3 linked regions of the Oreochromis niloticus genome follow. The protein of the gene in region 1 interacts with the protein of each later gene in a biochemical or structural test. Links are inferred from orthologs where the notes say so. Each region holds a gene or a part of one and is shown on either strand. Other genes may lie near its edges.

The links. The genes of interacting proteins can lie anywhere in the genome.
Region 2: the proteins of erbb2 (region 1) and fer form a complex in vitro, tested with the Homo sapiens proteins (2 studies listed by BioGRID and IntAct, with this or other methods). The link is inferred for Oreochromis niloticus from reciprocal best matches to the Homo sapiens genes ERBB2 and FER.
Region 3: the proteins of erbb2 (region 1) and tensin-3 form a complex in vitro, tested with the Homo sapiens proteins (2 studies listed by BioGRID and IntAct, with this or other methods). The link is inferred for Oreochromis niloticus from reciprocal best matches to the Homo sapiens genes ERBB2 and TNS3.

Annotation. Positions count from the first base shown.
Region 1 is NC_031973.2:16,306,652-16,314,655, reverse strand, and holds the start of erbb2 (receptor tyrosine-protein kinase erbB-2), read left to right. Parts: upstream 1-4,998; 5' UTR 4,999-5,453; coding exon 5,454-5,589; intron 5,590-5,595; exon of another isoform or gene 5,596-5,815; intron 5,816-5,970; exon of another isoform or gene 5,971-6,032; intron 6,033-7,104; exon of another isoform or gene 7,105-7,501; intron 7,502-8,004. UniProt on the Homo sapiens protein: Protein tyrosine kinase that is part of several cell surface receptor complexes, but that apparently needs a coreceptor for ligand binding. Essential component of a neuregulin-receptor complex, although neuregulins do not interact with it alone.
Region 2 is NC_031972.2:38,198,066-38,205,125, reverse strand, and holds the start of fer (tyrosine-protein kinase Fer), read right to left. Parts: upstream 3,016-7,060; 5' UTR 2,895-3,015; intron 2,778-2,894; exon of another isoform or gene 2,688-2,777; intron 2,529-2,687; exon of another isoform or gene 2,260-2,528; intron 1,458-2,259; 5' UTR 1,398-1,457; coding exon 1,329-1,397; intron 606-1,328; coding exon 474-605; intron 355-473; coding exon 181-354; intron 1-180. UniProt on the Homo sapiens protein: Tyrosine-protein kinase that acts downstream of cell surface receptors for growth factors and plays a role in the regulation of the actin cytoskeleton, microtubule assembly, lamellipodia formation, cell adhesion, cell migration and chemotaxis.
Region 3 is NC_031982.2:17,521,602-17,529,283, forward strand, and holds the start of tensin-3, read left to right. Parts: upstream 1-4,667; 5' UTR 4,668-5,137; intron 5,138-7,682. Other genes in the region: dspa (desmoplakin-A), read left to right, coding at 202-3,423. UniProt on the Homo sapiens protein: May act as a protein phosphatase and/or a lipid phosphatase. Involved in the dissociation of the integrin-tensin-actin complex. EGF activates TNS4 and down-regulates TNS3 which results in capping the tail of ITGB1.

The sequences.
Region 1 (8,004 bases):
TTATAGTTCAGAAAAGATGTGATGTAAAGTCTCTGGAAAGCATATGATGTTATATTTTACAGTAAAAAGATGTTTATGGGAACTCTAAAGTAGCAGTTTTAATGGCAAACAAACCTAAAGATTTTTAATACAGCACAGTCATTTTTTTACAGTAAGAGCTTGATTTTGTAAGTTACATTTGGAATAATAATTTTTTTAAATGGTGGCAAATCCAGCTGTCAGACACACATTCCTAGTATACACTCTTTTCCCTTAATTCTTCATGGCATCGACTGAAAAAGGTGCTTGAAACATTCTTTAGAGATTTTGGTTCATATTGACATGACAGCATCGCACAGTTGCTGCAGATTTGCCACATCAATGATGAGCCTCTCACATTCATCCACATCCAAAACGTCTATTGGATTGGAATCTGGTGATTGTAGAGGCCATTTGAGAACAGTGAACTCATTGTGATGTTCCAGAGACCAGTTTGAGATGACTGAACTTTGACACCTTAGGCATGTTATCCTGCTGGAAGCAGCCACCAGAAGATCACACACTGTGGTCATAAAGGGATGGATATGGTTAGAAACAACACGCAGGTAAGCTGAATTAGTCAGGAGGAGCCCAAATATATCTCTAACACCAACAGCAGCCTGAACTGTTGATACATGACATGGTGAATTCATGGTTTCATGTTGTTTGCACCACATTCTGACCCTACCATCTGATTGTCACAGTAGAAATGTAGACTCATCAGATCCAGCAGCTCTTTTTCAAGCCTCTGTTGTTCAGGTTTGGTTTGCTTGACTTCCTGTTCTTAGCTGACAGGAATGGCACCCGGTGTGGTCTTCTGCTGCTGTAGACAATGTGCTTCCAGAGATCCTGTAAACAGAGGTTATTTTAGTTACTGTTGCCTTCCTATCAGCTCAAGGGAGTCTGGTTGTTCCCCTCTGACCTCTGATATGAACTGCAGCTCACTGGTTATGTTCTCGTTTTTAAACCATTCTACAGATCGTTGTTTGGGAAACTCCCAGCAGATCAGTAGTTTCTGACATATTCAGACCATGCCATGTTGAAACTCACCGAAATCATCTTTCTTCCCCATTCTCATGTTCAGTTTTCAGGTTGTTTTGACCATGTCTACATGCCTAAATGCACTGAGTTGTTTATCCACTTCACAGGCCTGTGAGTGTCTCTTACAAAGCACTGATGTATTTCCATTTCCTCCCACGTATACTTATAAAAGTTTAAGTAATCCTTAATTTTTCTTGCATTTAGGTGGATGATTTGAAGGAGTGTTGCTACACTAAACCTGTGTTAAAATGCATGAAATGTTCACAGCTAGAGGTATCAACAGAGCAGGACAAGTGAGTAGAGAAGTGACATGTTTGTCCCTCCCCTGTTACACTGCAGTCTAAAGGGCTTGCTGACCTTGTACTATTTGTGCCAGTGATATATGCACAGATACCTTCATTGTGTCTCCGATATAATCAAGACAAATTCCTTTAGACTTGTATTTGGATTTATGAGCAGCAGTGGGAAACAATATGGTTTTCTTGTCCTTGAAGAGTCCCGCACTGTATTTCTTATTTCTTCTCTCATGCCAAATCTAAAAACTTGGCCAGTCAGGGGAACTGAACTATGAGTGAATTTATGATGTTCTTTGGTAATGACTTCTTTTCTGTATATTTTCACTGTGCTTCACTGCAGTTGTCCTTGGACTCTCTCACTTGAACACATTATCTCTCACCCACTTCCTGGCCTCCTCACCTTTTAACCCACACAGACCTTTTTTTTTTTTTTTTTTACACACGTTTTATGTGTTCCTGAGAATTACAGCCATTTTTTCTGAAGCAATTTCCACCATCAAGTGTGATGAAAATTGCTGACTACTGGATCAGGTTTTATTGTAGCACAGCTTGCTAAAACGAGGAGTTGCATACAGAGCCAACAAACACTTAAAGTTTAAGACTTAAAGTTCACTGCTGGGAAAATCTTCCAACCAGAATACTAAACTGACTGCATCCCTCAGGAGCAGATGACTTTTTTTTCTGTGGGAACTAAATATTTCAGCCTCACTAGCACCACTCAGCTTCGCGAACGGTCCGCAACTTGTGGTCTGTGTGGCTCAGTGTGTAGCTTATTGTTGTTTTCTGATAGCTCTGTGCAGGAGGCTGGACTCTGACCCGGGCTTCTGTGGGTGGGGAGAGACGATAGATTGGGATGAATAGAGTTTATTCTTCCTCCTTCGACTCCTGATTTGTGACCGTGAATGAAGAGCATGAGAAAAGCGGGAGAAATATGAAGACACTCCAATCTTGTATCACGCAAAGAATTCACTTTTTTTTTTTTATAAATTCAACAGTCCCCTGATCTAAAATGTTGATTTGATTCATTCCTTAAATATTAATAAAGTTTTAATAGTCAAACATACTGATATACAAAGCAAGACTTACATCTAAAAATTTGCCAGTTTGCAAAAATAAACACATCGATATCAGTCAGTGTGATTCATAATGAAATAATGCAGCTAAGAGTGTAATCGTTGCCTCGATACATTTCAGATAATTTTTTTCATGTAACCAGTTTTCACATTTAATAATTCAAACAGGGAGTTTTACAACTTCTACAAAACAAAATGAAACTCTAATTAAACATGTTTGAATTTGTTAATTACGCGTTTTGACACAGTTATTGTAAAATGTGTCATTCTTTTAAACAGACATTTAATACTACACGTCAAATTGGTGAAATATTGTGTTAGTGGGATAATTGTTATGTAATTGTTCTAAATAAACTCTTGATGTAGGTCTTTTCTTATATGATAATGCACATTTTATGTAATTTTTGAAAAAACAGGCAATTTAACTTGAACATTTTTCAAATATCCTGATGTCCCCTTTTAATCTGAAATGTATTCACATTGTAAGGTTTCATGGATGTTTGGGGATCAGTATTACATCATGGATGTGGTGTAAGAAAGTGACTTTATTTAAGTGCTCATCACAGAAAAATAGAAAAAGGGGACGTACAAGAGAAAAGATTAAAGTACATTTAAAAAAGTAAGTGTCAGAACAGCCAATAAGAAGACACAAAAACCACATGTGTCTATGGCTCCATGACAACTGTATAATGCCCAGCAGTGAATGAGAGCATGGACCTGTAGGAATGTATACAGTACAATGTACCATTTTAAAATGAGTTACATTATATACACTGAATTTTACCATTTGCCATACAGAAAATTAATCAGGACAATGTTTTTTTTTTTAACTGTGTAACTTAGTACTTTACTCAGATAAAGGTCTAATTCACTTATATGTAAATGTTAAATATTATACTTTATACACAATACTGTTCATTTTAAATCTTAAGTTACTTACTGTCATGTAGATAATTTGCATTATTATAGATCTGCCGTGGTCCTGGGTTTTGGACCCAGCATTTTAAGTTTTTAAGTTAAAGTTTATGTTTTCAGTTCAGGGGTTTCTTTATTTTTCTTGTAATTATAGTATAGTCTGGTGTTAGTCATTGTTTCTTTGAGATCTAGTCTCTTTTATTTATTTATTTTTTATATCTCATCCCTTGTGCCTTAGTTTATTTTCACCGGTGTTCATTCGTGTTAATTTACTGTGTAAATGTGTGTCTAATCTGTAATTGTTATTTCCTTAGTTTCATTCTCCAGATTCTGTTTACTTGTGCCTAGATTTCTCCCAGTAGTGTTCACTTCCCTTGATTAGCACCCAGCGTGTGAGTTTTTATAGTCCTGTGTTTCCTTTGTTCATTGTTAAATTGTCTGTTTGTTATCCTCTTGTGTTTCCAGCCTATTTCCAGTCGGATTTTGTTTCTCCTGTTAGACCTCTGTTATTTAAATTCTCCTTGTGGACTTCTTGAATGTGTTTTGGACTTTTCTTCACCTTTAATAGAGGTAATTTTCTGTTTTACATCTGCCTGCCTCAGAGTCCTGCATCCATCCAGAACCTGCTTATCATAACAAGCTGCCCAGAAATATATAAGTAATTAAAATCATCCTGAGGTGCAACAGTGTTATTTACATCAATGAGTAAGTAATTATGAAAACACCCTTCTACATAATCTGCATGTTTACTGGAGGTGCTTTAAATGTGTGATGGTTATACAGCCGTTGCGTTACTAAGTTACTTAACAATTATTACTACTTTTACATAATCAAATTATTTTTTTTAACTTTCCAAAATAATCGACCAACACAAAATTATGTTTAAACTCTTGTAAAGCACCACTTTTCATGTTATACAGTCATAGTATGGGTCAGGGACTGAAAATCACAGCCAGGCTTTTCAAAGTCAATGCTCTATACAAAAAATATTTATCCCCAAAATTCTAACTTTAAGTAATTTGATTACATGTAAATGTACAGTGTGAAACATTTAATGCAATCTGGTGAATGAAATGTATTTGATTGTTATGTGGTCAGCTTACACCAAGCATATTTCCCTTAATGGTTAATTATTTGAATAAATAAACCTTTGAGTTTACACATTTCAAGTGCATTTTATTCAAACTTAACCCTTCATATTTGAGGGTCAAGAATACTTTTTGAGAGCCCAGATTTTGCTTCTCATAAACACAGGGTGTATCTAAAGAAATCATCAGATTGCAAAAGGTTAGGTATTTTTTTAAAGCAATGGACACAGAAGTTTGTGGTAATTTTTTTTTAAATACATTGCTGAAAATAAAGTTTAAAATAACAAAACTTACAACTTGTTCACAAGTGTTTAGTGTGTCCTCTTCTGGATGCACGGCACATGTCCATACGAAAGGCAAACTCGTCCCATACTTTTGCGGGCATGTCTGGAGTCACTGCTGTTGTTTTGCTACCCACAGACAACCGTGCAAAACTCACAAATCTGCTTTTTCGACCGTTTCCAGTGAAGGGCTGTGGAATTAAAGCACTTTGAAATCAGATGATTTTTTTTGTTCTTTTTTGGATACACCCTGTATGCTGACCCCCACCCCACCCCTCTGTGGCACCCTACTGTAAAAAATCCCGGAAACGCCCCTGCATATAGCCAATTTGACTTTTCCCCTTTACTTCCAAGCGATAGAAGGCATACTGAAATTTTTAAAAAGATGGTAGCATATTCACAGATTATGCATGAACAGGGTAAATGCTTTAATTGTTCTCCATATTTAACACTTTGATCCACTTGAGCCCTCTGAGGAGAAATAAGCGCAATTAAAGTTTGAAGGTAATTTTTAGACATAATTAGAATGAAACGTGTTATAGGGTTAAGTAAGTCAGACCGGAGTGAGGGCGGGTTGACTGAACCTGCCACTCCCCGTTCAGGCCTTCACGCCACGGGAGCGCGCCTCCGCTCCTGTTACGCGCTTACTACCAACAGGCAGGGAATTCATGGGAGGAAGTAACTGAGATTCGGACACGAACAACAACTCCACACGGTGCCAGAAACGACAGTTAGCTCTAAATGAGATGCAAAAACTTCATCTCTGTTCCCCCCAGATGGACTAGAAGCGCCGGGTCTGCGCAGATGGAGGCGGCGAGAAGTTTGCTGTTTGTCGGGGCCGTGCTGCTCGGAGTGACGGGCGCTTCAGGCAGAGAAGGTGGGTAACTTTCAGCGCTTTTCCCCTGTCTCTAATACCTCCGCCGTCGGCAAAATAGAACCACGGAGCGTCGGGGAGATGGCACAGGAGTGTGCTGGCTGTAATTTCAGGAAATGCTGGAGGTTTTTTTCTGGTCCGGAGGACTACATTCCTCCGTGACTCCTCAGCCGGGTCCTCTCAGCCCTCCTGGGATTTATGAAGGGCTGATTATGAGGAAAAATCACACCTGTCACAAAACAGCCTCGCTTTAGATTTACAGTTTGGACCAAAATAATTTTTAAAAAGATTTAAAAAATAAATAAACACAAATCTCCAATCTTGCAACACTTTGACTTGCTCAAATAAACACAGAGCAGAGACTCAGGTAAGAAATATGAGAACCTGCTTTGCAGCTTTGCGACACAACTGACTTGTGCACTGCAGGCGGACGGTTCGTGGCTTTGCTGTAAACACAAACAAAAACAAGACACTAAACAGGCAGTGCATTGTGGGCCAAGGATCATGACGATGTCAATTATTCACTCCTGGCTCTAAAAGGGGGACATTGTGCGATAGAGGGGCCACTTGTCACACTTGGAGCTTGAGTACGTGCCAGTAAAACAAGAGCTAACTGGAAGGTGCAAAAGAGCTGCAAATCATATTTTTGCTTGTTTTTCATTTTATTATAGGTTTTGGGGGGATAATAATAATTTATAATAATAAATAATATAATTTAATGCTTGATCTGGTGGTCAGTCAGTACTTGGACTTGAGATATTTAATTTGTTAACTGAGAAAATGATTGGTTGTGCAGATTAATGGGTGCATATGGACCTGTATAGATCTATTTTAGGTGTATTTGGGGAGATCAATAATCCCCGGCCAGCTGCTTTTAAAAGCAGTTTTATTGGCACATGCTAATAGAAAAATGAATCTGAACTCAATAACAATTTATTCTACAGTGCTCACTTTATTGACATACAGCTGTTGGCTTTCATTGATGTGCACAAAATAAAGAAAGAGCCCCCTTTGGGGTTTTTCATTCAAGTCCCCCTCACAACTAAAATGACTAATGTAAGTACAAACAACTGTCTGTTTTATTAGCTGCTCTCTCCCTCTCTCTCTCTCTCACACACACACACACACACACACAAACAAAGCCTATAGTCACAGGTGAAGTGATTTTCAACTATGACTGCATTGTTGGTGGGAACTGGTTGGTGCACTTTACTCAATCTGTGAAGCATCAGTTCAGGACGAGCGCTCCGACTGGCTCCAGAGTGAATCTCAGCAGTCTTACTTTCAGTTATGAAGTATTATTAAAGTGTTATATCACACACACACTCTTTCACCTCCCCGTCCCCGTGTGTGTGTCTGTGTTCAGTGGCCTTTGTATCCATAGAGTTCGTGCCCTCGTCACACTCTAGTGAAGCTCACTGTGCACTGATTAAGTCTTACTGAAGTGGCCTCAGTGATAGGCTAACTCAGCCTGCTGTGACTCACCAGTCTAGACTGCATGTTACTGATCTAACTCACCCGGAGATGAGAGCGGGACCACCAGAGAGGCATCGCTGCTGTCCTCCGAGGAGACTTTCAGCCTCTTCTTCCGTATGTCTTCTCTTCACCCGGCTTTAAGAGTATAGTGGGAAAATCCTCGGAGGAAATAAAGTGTTAGACAAATAAAGTGTCATCAGTGTGACACTCAGAAATACTGCTGACATCTTCTAAACTCTCAGTATTTAAACGATTGCCTCAGCTACCTGTTTGTGTTAGCAGAATGAAATCATGGGGAAATAATTAAAAGAAACCCTGTTATTTTCACTATTTATTAACTTCCCTGTAATTCATAATAGGTCTGTAACAGTGATACTCAACTTGCGGCTCACAGGCCAAATCAGGCTCGGCGTAGGGTGCTGGCCAGCTCTCTATAAAACTAAAGAGGTTGCAGTTATTTTTAATGTAGTGTAAACTTTCAAAGCATCCATAACTAAAATGCAGTAGCATCTCATGAGCGCGGTGAAATTATTATGCATCATAAGGGCCAAAAAGCCCTTCCAACAAGGCCATTCATTTGGAAATAAATGATTTAAAAGAAAGGAGTTTGCTCTTTTTACTGCCCATTCATTCAGTCTGATAACTATTATAAATATATTAAAAATTCTTCTTATTAAACAACCTTTTGTTTGATGTGGTGTTTGTAAAAACTCCCTCCAGGTAAAACATGTAACGTATCCCATGTCTGCACGACGTTGCAAGTAAGGAGCTACGGGTAAAAATGCTGTTTCAAACCCTCGATTCCAAACTTAGAAACAAAGAATCGTGTTGTATTTTCAGTACAATATAAACAAAAACCATAACATATTTTCCAGGGTTATTTAATTAATTAAATATAATTTCTGTCCCTCATAAAATAAGGAGTTGATGAGAGAGATCATT
Region 2 (7,060 bases), on another chromosome or scaffold:
TGATTTGTTTTTTAACTAACTGAAATTATTTTAAAACTGATAAAAACTAAGAGACGTCCTCAGGTGACCTCACTCAGTCCATCATGCTTGTAAAAGCCCTGGCGTGCTTATATTATGCACCAACAGGAAACTAACTTTTAGCTGAGGCTCTGCCTCAGTCTGATGCCCCCCCCTGCACACCTTGTGGATGTGGCTCTCCAGCTGCTGATGAAGACTTTGGTAGCTCTTCTTCACCTGCTGCTTGTCCCGGATCAGCGTGGCGAGACGGTGCAGCGGCCCCGAGTTCAGATCGTCGGCGTGACTTCTCATTATCCGACCCAACGCCTCTGTCTGACGAATCACCTGCGACCACGACTGGGACACACACACACACACACACACACACACACACACACACACACACACACACATACACTCTTAGACTGGTTCACATGCTCTGCCCCTCCCACTGAACCGACAGCTGAGCCGCTCACCTTACTCACAGTGCTGACATAGTCAGCAGTTTCTTGTTTCTCCATCTGCTGTGTCATGCTGAGCAGCAGAGCTGCGTACTCTTTATCACTTTTCACCCGCAGCGTCATGAAGCGCTTCACCGTCTCCAGCAGCTAGAAGGCAGGTAGCAAGAGTGAACCAGACAGGAAGTGAAAGTGAAGAGGAGGAAGCGCAGAATAACACAATAACACAAAAGACAGATGTTTGACACAGAATGTAGATAAAAGATGGACATGGCCACTGTGACACACTGATTTTTTGAGTCTCAACGTTAGCATTTTGGATGAAGCCATGTTATTTCTTTGATTAAGGAAGTGACCATATTTGTCCGAGAGGGCAGATTTACCTAATGCTTAATACTTACTCAGCGCTGTGTGATATCAAATCAAAATCTTCAAATTTCACTCACAAAACTGAAGATCACCTTTCTCAGGCCTGTTAGTACAGTAAGCTCACAGCAGCCATATTAATTAACATAATTAAAAATGTTCCAAAAGGCTCCAACAAACTTTAATATACAAACTTTAAAAAGGTGTTATATAAACATTCACACTCATACAGGTGTTTAAACCAGTAAATTATCTATAGAGACCCCAAATAATGTGCATCAGGCTGTAAACATGTTTATTTCTGCTGCAAGGTTTTAACATGGAAGTCTGTGGGGACTGACTCACTGCTGCCCCTGCTGGACATGAGAGGAACTGTATCCATCTTTAATTACAGTCTGTATAACCAGGGCCCCCCCACAGGTCAGACTGTGAACTACACCCCTCTGATAGTGATCTCCGCAGGTGGAAACATGTTGAGCTCTGTGAGTATTTGAGGCTAAATCAGACCTTTAACTCCCAGTCCTGCAGCTTCAATAATCCCTCGTGGGAATTCCTTAGATCCCGACCGAACCCCATCCTGGATCTCAGTCTTTGTGTTTAACAGCGTGGATTAGCGGACACTGATAGCATGGCCGTCTATGGAGAGAGAGAGAAATACGTGCAGGTTCATAACAAATAGATGATCTGAAACAAACTCTTCAAACCTCGACATCTCCCACAGTCACCTCTAAACCTCTGAACAAACTGAGCAGGAAATATTTACTCTGCTAAAGCCACAGCCTGAAACCTCATAAACCATTTTATAACTCTCTAACAACCCTCTAAAAACCTTTGAAACCATCAGAAACCAGAAGAGGGTGATTTCACCTCCAGCACAGAAAAACTCCAACTGTCCGTTAACAGAAATGAAACCATCAGGTGTGAAACACTCACTTCTTCCTGCGGCTTTAAACTGATTTAAACTATAAACATTAGCTTCAATCTGTCAAAGCTAACTCCAAAATCTTCCAAGAATTTCCAAAACACGTTCCAAACATATTTCCAACATCTTCACTACTTCCTTCCAGGACGCTTCAAAACTTTTCAGACTTCCTTCAAACTATCTAATCACGTCACAAAACCTTAAAACACATGAAACGGTTTAAATATGGTTTTAAAACACTTTAAGATCTTTAAAAACTTTTTTTTTAAAAAGTTGTTAAAACGGTTTATGGCACTTTAAGTGTCAAACTATGCTAACGCTAGCCGCTGCTCCCATATAAATTAAAGGGAAACGAGGCTAGCGTGCTAAAAAGATAACGGCAGCTTCCTTTGGAATTGCAGGAAAACTGACTTGCTAACATACTAACAGCTGCTGTTAAACTTTGTTCAGAAGTCTTTAAAACTGAAGCCGAACGGAGAAGTCACACTCAGAGACTCCGTGTCCGCTTCTCCGAACCTTTTCTCCGGGTACGAAGCTCCGATGGAGCGGCGGAGGAGCGCCGGGATACTCGCAGGGGGTTCCCAGTTTTTCCTGCGCTCCTCGGACGCTTTCTGCCGCTTTAACGCACCAGGAAGTGAGTTAATGCGGCAGGAGGCTCGCTGTCCGGTCACCGCGGTCCTCTGTACTCCTCGGCCGGTATCATGTCCTCCAGTTCTTCTGGATTCTCTGCTCCGTTTCCCGGCTTCTCCAGCTGCTGTCCGGCTACCGAGCTAACGGCTAACAGGGAGGGGCTTCCGTGGGAAACGGAAGAAAGGGGGGAGGAGGGGGTCTTATTGTGTGGCTGAAGACGTGAACGTGGAACATGCATGGGACATACGTTGGAGCTGTCTGGACACAGACAGAACATCTGGATCAAACACTCCGATTTCACACACCTGGATTAGACACACCTGGGCATCATTTCTTACCGCTGCACCCTGTGGTGGAAACTATAAAAATAAACCTGAGAATATGCACACCTGTACCTGAGCCAGGTAAGCATCTTGGTGACCCGCCAAACTAAACTCAAGCAATAAAACCCATTCAGCTTGTTATGATAGTACTTACTAAACCAGTCTATCGGAAATATCCAGAGCAGCAGGGAGCCTTACCTGTACTGTTACCTCTCACTGTAGCAGGTATTAGCCCTTCGTCACTCCCATTGACTGTAGTCAATGGTCACTCCCCACATCCTTGTTATGAAAAATTTTTTCTCTCTGACATCATCAAAGCGCTCACATTAAGGTAATCTCCAGCGCACAGAAATACACGTAAACTTTCTGCTTCAGACTCATGCATGCTCATATCAAAGCACCTCCTCCTCCAATCAGAGGTGTTACCAGAGCGCAGGTAATAGAGCTCTATGAAGAACGCACCTGAAAATATGACTAATGTGACATGAGAGAGCTTTTATCTGTGAATTATTGAGTACATGTTTTTATTTTCTGATATATTTCTCATGCAAATGGAGAGTCCTCTTCACACACTAAGGTTAATTATAAAGTTATACAGGGCCCAGTGCTATAACCAATTCTGTTTACATTATAATCCCTTGGGGAGTATCTCCCTTAGGGAGTATCATTAGAAGGCATAACATACCTTTTCCCTGCTATGCAGATGACACCCAGCTGTATCTATTCATGAAGCCAGATAACACACACCAATTAGTTAAAATGCAGGAGAGTCTTAAAGATATAAAGACCTGGATGACCTCTAACCTTGTGCTTTTAAATTCAGATAAAACTGGGATTATTATACCCAGCCCTAAAAATCTTAGAAATATTGTATCTAACTAGATGTTTTTATGATGTTTTTAACCAGTTGCTTTTCAATGCCAGTTTAAAAGCATATGTAGGACTGCTTTCCTCCATTTCTGCAATACCTCTAAAATTAGAAACACCCTGTCTCAGAGTTACGCTCATTTTTTTTAAATAGCACCAAATCACAACAACAGTTGTCTCAAGGCACTTTATATTATAAGGTAAAAACCCTACAATAATACATTGTAAACAGAGAAAACCCCAAAAATCATATGACCACCTGTGAGCAAAAGCTTTGGCAACAGTAGGAAGGAAAAATTTCCATTTAACAGGAAGAAACCTTCAGCAGAACCAGGCTCAGGGAGGGGCAGCCATCTGCCACACTGGATGGGTGTGCGCCAGGGCTGGACTGGGACAAAAAATCGGCCCGGGCATTTTGACTAGAGACCGGCCCACCAGGTATTAAAGCCATAAAGCCTTTGAATGAAAACAAACGCTGTTGTGACAGTGATGTACACTGTCTTGTTGGTATATGTATGATTTCTGTACATTTTATGTCAGATAAAAACTTTGTTCGCAAGATTCAGATAATTATTTAATAAAAGCTAGATATTTTAAATGAGAATAAGAAAGAAAAGTATGTCTTTGTGCCCCCTTTTCCCTGTTAATGCCCTACCTGGCCCCCTGGCAAAACTTTCCTAGACCCGCCCCTGCACAGTTACCAGCTGTCAGCTACATAAAAAAGGATCCTGGTGTTATTTGTCTCTCAGAAACAGTTCATAACTTCCCTTCAACTCATCCATGTCACCTAAAAGGTGAACCTGTTTCTCCATCACCTGTTCAGCTCTGATGATTCAGTAAGGACATCTCCTGGTTTCATCTTCATCTTTCCCTCTCACCACATATCCAAACCGATATCATGACCAGCAGTTTTTACAGCTGTGGCTCCAGCAAACATCAGCTGATACTAGAAATTACTATTAAATAAATTCTAACAACAGCTGATCAAGCTTAAACGTGCTGCTGTTGTTTAACGCGACATCTGCTGGTTTCTTCTTTCTGGCGCAAAGTGGGCGATAAATAAACAAGAGAGAAAAGCCGATCAGCTGATCACTGATCAGTTTCATGATTGAAGTAGGAACAGGAGAGGGAGGGGAGAGAATGAGAGAAGAGGAGGCAGCTGTGCAGCGTAAACACACAGAATAACTCCAGCTTTGTGTCTTTGTTTCATTCTAGCTAAAGTACGGGACAAACTGCGTCTCTTCTCAGCTTAATACGAAACGCGTAATATTTTCTCTGAATGAGGGACCATTCCATTTTTTAAGGAGCCGTTGGCAACTCTACTAACTAAACTTATGAATAAAATTAAGTTCACTATCAGTAACATCATAGCACCCGCCCAGCTGTATACAAACTCCGTCATGCTAGCTAGTACGCAGTACGAGTTATTGTAACTGACAGTAAAAAGTCAGCACAACAAAAATAAACTCCACCTAAACTTGGTTTATATCTGACCCAGACAGACTGCAGGTCATAACTTCTTACCTGAAGTTCAGTTCACCTGACACTCGGACCGCCTCGGGTCTCTCCTCCTCCTGCCTCCCCTTTCCCTCATCCACCTGCTGGCCTCTGTGGAATCTCTGCCATAGCCACCACCAAACAACTGAGTTATTTTTACACATCGGCCAGCATCTGGCGCATCCACCACCTCTCATTGTTCATGCTGTTACAACATGAATAAATAAATAAATAAATAAGTCATCAGCCCACCAGGCAAATGCCCGGTATGCCCGATGGCCAGTCCAGCTATGGTGTGAGCAGATAAAGACAGGAGAAGGACATGCTATGGAAAAGAGCTAGAGATTAATAATTAATATTTAAATGCAGAGAGGTGTACAAACATGTGAGTGAAGAAGAAACTCACTCAGTGCAGTCCCCCAGCAGCCTACACCTATTGCAGCATAACTAAGGGAGGATTAAGGGTCACCTGATCTAGCCCTAACTATATGCTTTATCAAAAGGAAAGTTTTAAGCCGAATATTAAAAATAGGCATAGTGTCTGTCTCCTGAATCCAAACTGGACACTGGTTACATGGAAGAGGGGCCTTGAAAGCTCAAGGCTCTCCCTCCCATTCTACTTCTTAATACTCTAGCTTTCATGGGGTGATACAGTATTATAAGGTCATTAAGCTAAGACATGTATGTGACGAGCAGCCGGATTTTAAATTCTGGATTTAACAGGGAGCCAATCAAGATAAGCCAATATAGAAGAAACATGCTCCCTCTTTCTTATCAGTCTCTCTCTGTCAGTAATCGTGCTGCAGTATTTTGGATCAACTGAGCTTTTCAGAGAGTTTTTAGGACATCCTGATAATAACAAATTACAATACAGTCATAAATACATAAACTACTTTTTCAACATCACTATGAGACAGGATGTGATGCTGAGGATCTAATTTTAGAGATATAGTGCAAATGGAAGAAGACTCCAAGATTTCTCACAGTGTCACTGGAGGCCAAGATAATGCAATGAAGAGTAAGTATATGGTTAGATACCATATTTGTAAGATTGTCAGGCCAGAGTACATTAACCTCAGTTTTACCCGAATTTAGAAGCAGAAAGTTAGCGGCCGTCCAAGTCTTTATGTCTTTATGACATTCCTTCAGTTTAACTAATTGTTTGTGTTATCTGGCTTCATGGATAGATAAAGTTGGGTGTCATCTGCATAGCAGTGAAAATGTATGCTATTCCTTCTAATAATACTGCCTAAGGGCAGCGTGTATAATGTAAACAGAATTGGTCCTAGCACTGAACCCTGTGGAACTCCATAATTAACCTTAGTGTGTGAAGAGGACTCTCCATTTACATGAACAAATTGGAGTCTATTAGATAGATATGATACAAACAACTGCAGTGCAGTACCTGTAATACCTAAAGCATGTTCTAATCGCTCTAATAGGATATTATGGTCAACAGTATCGAACGCTGCACTGAGGTCTAGCAGGACAAGCACAGAGATGAGTCCACTGTTAGAGGCCATAAGAAGATCATTTGTAACCTTCACTAAAGCTGTTTCTGTGCTGTGATGAGCTCTGAAACCTGACTGAAACTCTTCAAATAAATCATTCCTCTGCAGATGATCTGTTAGCTGTTTGACAACTACTCTTTCAAAAACTTTTAAGATAAAAGTAAGGTTGGAGATCAACTAATAGCTTTTTAAATAATAGTTTAACTACTGCTAAGTTGAAGGCCTGTGGTACATAGCCGATCATTAGAGATAGGTTGATCATATTTACGCTTGAAGCATTAATTAATGGTAGAATTTCTTTGAGCAGTTTTGTAGGAATGGGGTCTAAAAGACACGTTGATGGTTTGGAGGAAGTAATTACTGAAGTTACCTCAGAAAGATCAATTGTGGAAAAAGACTCCAAATGAATATCAATGGTACTGAAAATACCTGTAGATAAAGTTACATCTGTTAGATGATTATGAGTAATTTTTTCTCTAATGGTTAAAA
Region 3 (7,682 bases), on another chromosome or scaffold:
ATTTACCCATTCACTTATGGCACTTATGAACTTCATACCATTAAACAGTTTAACACTAACATGCTGGTATGCACACGTATGTACTTTAGTTCAGACAGGTCTAACAAATGAAGGACATGTAATTTAATTTAAATTGTTTGTATTCTATATGTGGGAAAATGTCTTGTATACATGACAACATACTTTCTTATCTCTTCACAGACATCGCTTGTGGTGCAAGAATCCCAAAGCAAATACAGTGATCTGCTGCTGGAGAAGGATAGTTTGCTGTCCAGGATTAAACTGTTGGAGCAGGACAAGAATCGTCAGTTGCGGTTAGAAGAAGAGCTCAATCGCATCAAAGTCACACTAGAGTCCGAGCGTCGAAACAAACAGCAGCTGCAGGAGGAGAAAAATTCAATTTTCAAGGAGCTAAGCACTATAAAGAGCCAGTATGAGATGAAAAGTTCTCAGATTAGGCAGTGCGAGTCAGACAGAGATAGGGCCGATCGAGAGAGGCTTTCCCTCAAGAGCGAGATCGAGAGGCTTACGAGGGAGCTAACGAGTATTGAAGAAAGGTACAAGAGCCGTCTGTTGAGCTCAGAGAAGGAGGCAAAAGAGCTGGCTCTCAAGAAGGAGTCCCTGGAAAGAGAAATACGCAGACTGCAGCAGAGGCCCAACACTCTGAATAGGCAGACCCAGACAGATGAGAAGGTCCAAACCATTGATCCGTCAAAGCTTCTGTTTGACGGGGTGCGCCGCAAAGTTACAGCCCATCAGCTTTGCGACTGTGGTATCATTAGTAAAGCTACTCTAGATGAGCTCCTAAAGGGAAGAAGGACAGTGAGCGAGGTAGCTGCAGACATCCAGGTTAACCTTAAGGGCAGTGGCATCATTGCTGGTATGACATCTACTTCTCAACGGAAAATCCCATTCACTGAAGCCAAAAACAAGAATATGCTCAGCCCAGAGAGTGCCCTTAAGCTTCTGGAAGCTCAGGCAGCAACGGGCTACATAGTGGATCCTGCATTTAATGAGAAGATGCCTGTGGATACCGCCTGTTCAAGAGGGATTGTAGACACAGAAGACAGAGATGTCTTGTTGAAAGCTGAAGCTGCTAGCACAGGTTTCAAAGATCCATACTCTGGCAAAGTGTTATCTGTGGGTCAGGCTTGCAGACAAGGCCACATAGACAAAGAGACAACCATCCGCTTGCTCCAGGCTCAAGAGTCTGTTGGGGGTATACTGGATCCTGTTTTGGGTGTCTTCCTACCAAAAGATCTGGCCTTGGACCGCAATCTTATTGACGAGGACCTCTACAGGGCTCTGACTAAAAAACCAACCTGCTATCTGGATCCAACAACTGGACAGAAGACAACTTACAATGACCTTCGGATGAAGTGTACAGTGGAACCTGTTTCTGGCTTGCTTCTGATCTCTGGTCCAGAAAAACCCTTGACAGTGAAAGGTCTCCGTGGTGAAGTCTCTGTCTCGGAACTCGTCAAATCTGAACTTCTGGATGAAACTGACTTGCAGAAGCTCAGTCAGGGCAAACTCACTAGCAGAGATATTGAAGACAAGCTAAAGACCTATCTCCATGGCTCTACCTGTATTGCCGGGATCTATGATGAAGCCAATGACAGAATACTACCTTTTTATCAGGCAATGAAGGAGGGTCTGCTTATGAGAGGCACCACGTTGGAGCTTCTTGAGGCCCAGGCTGCTTCTGGCTTCATAGTTGATCCAGTCAACAATGTTTTCTTGACAGTGGAAGACGCCAGCAAGAGGGGTCTGATTGGGAAGGAGTTTAAGGGCAAGCTGTTGTCTGCAGAGAAGGCAGTAATAGGATACAGAGACCCAAACACAGGAAAAACTATATCCCTCTTCCAAGCTATTGAGAAAGATCTTATTGAGAAGGGTCATGGAATCCGACTGCTCGAGGCTCAGATTGCCAGTGGTGGGATTATTGACCCCAAAGAGAGCCATCGTATTGATGTTGCTGTTGCCTATAAAAGAGGATACTTTGATGAGGAGATGAATGAAATCTTATCTTATGAAGGGGATGACACAAAAGGATTCTTTGATCCTAATACCAAGGAGAACCTGACATATCTTCAGCTGAAGGAAAGGTGCATCAAAGATGAAAAAACAGGTCTAATACTGCTGCCACTAAGAGACAAGAGAAAGCCCCAGAAGACGCAGGAAAGCCGCACAAATATCCTACGCAAGAGGCGGGTTGTAATCGTCGATCCAGACACTGGGCTTGAAATGTCAGTGAGGGAGGCCTACCACCGTGAGCTGATTGACTACGATACTTTCCTGGACTTGTCAGAGCAGGAGTGTGAGTGGGAGGAAATAACTATAACAGGGTCAGATGGCTCTGCACGCTTGGTTATAGTAGATAGAAAAACTGGACTCCAACATGATATTCAGGACTGCCTAGAGCGTGGTGTCATTAACCAGAGCACTTTGGATAAGTATCGTGCTGGAACAATGACCTTGACCCAATTTGCTGACGAAATTGCCAGCAGAAGCAGCAGCCTTGAAATGACCATTGCAGCCAGCAATGTTGATGACATGATCACCTGCAGCAGCCCCACCCACACAACACCATCTTCTCCTACTGTCCGTAAACGCTTCAACAGTATATCTATTACAGTCTCTCCCCCTGAGATGTTTGATGACCACAGCCCCGTGGGGGCTATATTTGACACAGAGACCTTGGAGAAAATAACTGTTAGTGAAGCGCTTAGAAGAGGCATAGTTGACACTCTTACAGCACAGAGGTTGCTGGAGGCCCAGGCATGCACAGGTGGTATCATCAACCCTGCTACTGGTGAGAGACTGTCACTGCAAGATGCTGTCCATCAGAGCATCATTGATGAAAGCATGGCCAGTAAACTGAAACCTGCCCAGAAAGCTTATGTTGGCTTTGAGGATGTGAAGACTAAAAGAAGGATGTCTGCGGCAGAGGCAGTCAAGGAGACATGGCTGCCTTATGAGGCTGGCCAGAGATTTTTGGAGTTTCAGTACCTGACAGGGGGCCTGATTGAACCTGGCACTGGACGTCGCGTCAGTATTGAAGAGGCTATCCGCAGAAAATGGCTAGATGGTCAGGGGGCCCAGAAGCTTCAAGACACTCGGAACCACCAGAAGAACCTGACCTGTCCCAAGACTAAACTGAAAATATCCTACAAAGAAGCCATGGACAGCTGCATGGTGGAGGAAAGCAATGGCATGAAGATGCTGCAAGCCTCGTCTGTGTCTACCAAGGGAATCAGCAGCCCTTACAATGTCTCTAACCCAGGATCTCGCTCTGGCTCAAGGGCTGGGTCTCGTACCGGCTCGAGGAGTGGATCTCGTAGAGGCAGTGTGGATTACACCTCTACTATGACCTTTACATCCGCCAGCAGTACAGTTTATAGTTCTAGCACACACTTTTAATTCATTCCACAGAATGATAATAATTAATCACATAAGAGTAGCATGTCCTCTGCAATTTGCTTGTTTGCTTTTTTTTTTATAACCATTTGCTTTTCAAAAAAAAAAGAAAAGTATTGTACTTAAAAGATTGGGGAGGTGTTTTGTTTTTGTTTGGGGTTTTTTTTTTTTTTTTAGACTTTTTTTGTTTGCAGGTTGTAATGATTGAAAGTTTCAATATTAGATGCTGAGTGCTATTTACACCTTTATCATAATAGATTTTTAGTAGATATAACCTTATTTCAGTTAATTTTACTACATGATGACTTTTTATAACAATATATAATAAATGCCTGTTGATTTTGTCTTTAACATGACCTCTGAATAAATGTCGCTTTTGTTGTGTTGTCATGACAGGTTAATTCATGCATTATTGAGAGAACATTTTTGTTGTTGTTAATTGCAAATCCTGAGGCTTAGCTTACAATATATGTTATACATTGCAATACAACATATTTTACATTGTAACTGTAGAAAATTGTTGCTACTAAAATGCTGTTACCCGCTATCAAAATAAAGTTGTCACAGAATTTTACATGCCTTTTTGTTCTGGTTCATTTAAATTAGCTGTTGCATGTATGAGAAGAAGTTAGCTAGACAGCATTGTTTCTAACGATGACTGATTGTAATGCTAAAGTTGATCTTGGATCCCTGTTTAAATGCAACTCACTATTTTACCCTTGATCTTACACAGATTGAGAGTGAAGTTTTACTCTTTAGTTGTTTGATGGTAGCTTTAAATATCTGTTAAAAAACTTCATAAATAAATAAAAGCAGTGCATGAGATATCATGAAAGACCCAAGATTTACCTTCTGAAGGAGGCTGATTTGGACCGCTGGAGATCTTTATAATATGTGTGAGTAATTTTAACTCGGTCTATGTTAATGTAATAAAGTGACTAGTCTAAAAAAAAAACTAAAAAAAAACCTGACGGTTTGAATATTTGTAGTACACCCATGAACTACTGAGGAAATAAAATGTACATTTATGAAACATTAAAAAGTTGTAGCCTAATTTAAACTTACTTATATATTAAAGATTTTAAACGGTAGGTTATAATTTCTTACAATTATATATTTCATTATGTCATGAATATGTATTTACTTGTACAGCAGCCATATGAAAGGTGATTATGTGGGTGGGGGTTGGCAGGAAATTAAAGTCTGTGTATGAGTAGTGAGGGTGAGAACAAACAAATGGAAGGGGGCAGAGGGAGGAGGCCAAAGCGAGGGGAGGTAGGTTGAAAGGGGAGGGAAGAAGGCAGACACCCACGGCGGAGCGGTAGGAGGACTATCCCATGCCAGGACTTGTGGCGGCTGCAGCGGTAGCCTGGACTAGAGGGAGTGTTTTGGAGGCATAGGAGAAATAGCAGCAGCAGCGTTTCCCTTTTTTTTCAGGATACGAGCAAGATTTTATTTTATTTCCAGCAGTGACAGAAAGGAGCGAAAAGAGCCCCTGGGTCCAAGCAAACTCCGAATAGGCAGAGAGCGCATTCCAGCAGAGGAAAATGAGCCTCCCAGCCCGCAGTAAGCCTGTTTGACGGCTGAGGGCTCTTTGAGACTCCGGACTTTATCATATTCCTTTTCTTTCTACAGCTTAAACTTACATAAAAAAGGAGGAAAAGAAGAATCCCCCCTCCCCCCCAAAAAAACAAGTCGTCGCTTTCACTTTAAAAAGGTAAGGCATGTTGTCCGAAACAGTTCGCCAGAAGAAGACAGGAGTTTTAACTCTGGCTGGTCAGTGCTTTAAAAAGCGGGATGAGACTTCCACTCTGTGGAGAACTTTTCAACAGTCACACTGCAGTGAGGTCGTCCAGAGAGTAAAACAGGGCAATTCTTTGTATTTACTTTGGTTAGAAACAGGGTGTGCGTGCGTGCGTGTGTGCGCGCGCTCTGGTATAAAAATTCTGAAAACAGGGAAGCGAGTCATTCATTCTCATCTGATTTTTTTAATGTCTTTATTTTTACATCATGTTTTTAAATAGAACCATTTAAATGCCTTTAACTGAAACTTCATAAAGTCAGGGTTAGTAGTCTTTTTAGCTTTTAAACGTTTCCCCCAGTGAATTGTATTCTGCAGTAGCTATAATTTGGGGTTCCTTGCTGTTGTGGGCTATGGTCTACTGAAGACCTTTTATAATGTGAAACATATGGGACTGTTCTTGTGGAGGACTTGCGTCCAGTAGTCCAAAAAGCTTCAAAGAGATAGGGCCTACCTTTCTGTTTGGGGTGTTGTACTCGTGGACAAATATTCGAGAGACACGACTGATTAAGAAAGTTTGTCTTTTTTCTTTCTGTCTGTCTTTTGAGTTTCAGCTGCTGCATGGTATGTGCAGCCTTAAGGCTATGATTCTTAGGCAGCCATTGTTGATGACATGCACAAGTGTCCTTATATGATAGCAGCTACAGCTCCTCTTCACCTGAATATTGCTTTCCTCCTTTCCCTCCAGTGAAGAGTCTACGTCTTCCTGCATTTACACTCTCTTGCAGCTAGCTTGTGAGTTGTTGTGAGCATTTTGCAAGCTGAACTCTTCCAAGATTTGGTTTAATTTAGAGTTGCATGACTAATATCTACCCCTCCAGGCGAAAAGAAATGAGTCAGAAACACAGAGTTATTATCATTATTATTATTATTTTTCATGACTGGTAACAGGAGGCACTTAAAAAGGGCTGGCAGAGCAACACATGAATGGGGATCCCGATAGTGTAGTTTGGACAGGTGGGTTGGCAGAGGGTTGGGACTGTGTACTGTAAGCAGAACACTGTGATCCCAGCATGAGACAGAGCAGTGGGGCATTTCATTTTGTCACAGCACCACTCTCTGTACATGTGCAACTCATTAAACATATAGGAGACCTGGAGAACGAAGGAGAATGAAAGCAATAAAGTGGCAAAAATTGTTTTAAAGAAAAAGAGAGGGTGGCGGGGATAGAAAAAGGGAGAGTGCTAACGTAATCCATTCTGGATCACATTCCACGCTGACCCTGGGATTGAAAATGGTAATTAGGGACTGCTTTAGGAGCCTTCTGGGTGCACAGATTTGCTCAGAGCCAGGGCTGTCATTTTTATTTCCTTCAAAATGCCTCGTGAAAATGTGAGACAAATACATGCTAGAGTTCCAGAGTTACAAAATAAACGTACTAAAAATACTCTGCATCCACGTCTGTGGCTTTTTTCAATAGTTCTCAGGGCTTGTTTATTTCAGTCCTTCAGCAGTGAATGGGTGTCAAAGCCACAGCATAAACATACAGAGCCCCTGACAGGAAAAGGCCTGAACAAACTGTGGCCTTGTCCTTCTCTGGGCTCTTAAAAGCCTGTCATGTCTCTGTGAGCATGTTATTCCACAGCATGGTGCCACACTCACGCCAAGTATGAATACATGGCGGTTTTCGAATGGTGAAGCTGATGGTATCAGAGTTATTAGAAGGCTGTTAGATGTAATCGCTTAATATTATCAGGGGACTCCAGCCACACGACAGAGGGAGAAAAAAACAAATGGGTTCTGCTTGCTGGAGAGTGCATGAAAAAGTCTTTTGTACGGGACAAAGAAAGAATTAAAGCTAAATGCAGTGTAGGAAAACATTTTTGTCCGGCAGCAGCCTGCAGGCAGCCAGACTTCCTGAAGCATTTTATGGCACTTTAGGTGTTACTCAGGTTTGCAGACAACAGCTTCGAAGGCTGTTAATCTTTCCAAATTCTCCCAAAGAGACAGCAGTGTTATGCATGTGTACCTGCTTTTTCCATAGGTATTTAATAGAGGACTTCTACGTGCTGGGAAGTTTTGAGGTTTATCACCTCAACGTTGGCTGAGGCTGCGCTCACTCTGTATCAGATAAAGCAAGCTTGATCATTTTTTTCGTTTCAGTCCCATCATTTCAGTTTAATTGACCTGTGAAAATATTCAAGCTGTCTCAGAAATGGAGGCTGTTGCCGCAGCATGTCAATCACAGGACTGAAGTTTGAGCCAACAGAACCAATTTGGGAGTGTGAATGGGGGAAGGGATCCCCTGATTGCTTTCATATGTGCTCTTTTTTTTGTTTCGCTCCGTCTCATCTTGTTTCTTAGTGATTTGCAAGCTATCCTCTTGACTATGCATTGGGGAATTTAGTTAGGTAATATCGATTTGTTTTGGATTCTAATAATGGCTTGTAATACAAATTTGTCATGTTTTCAATAGGCTTTTACAAGCAAGATAGTAAATCCAAAATTAAAATAATGCATT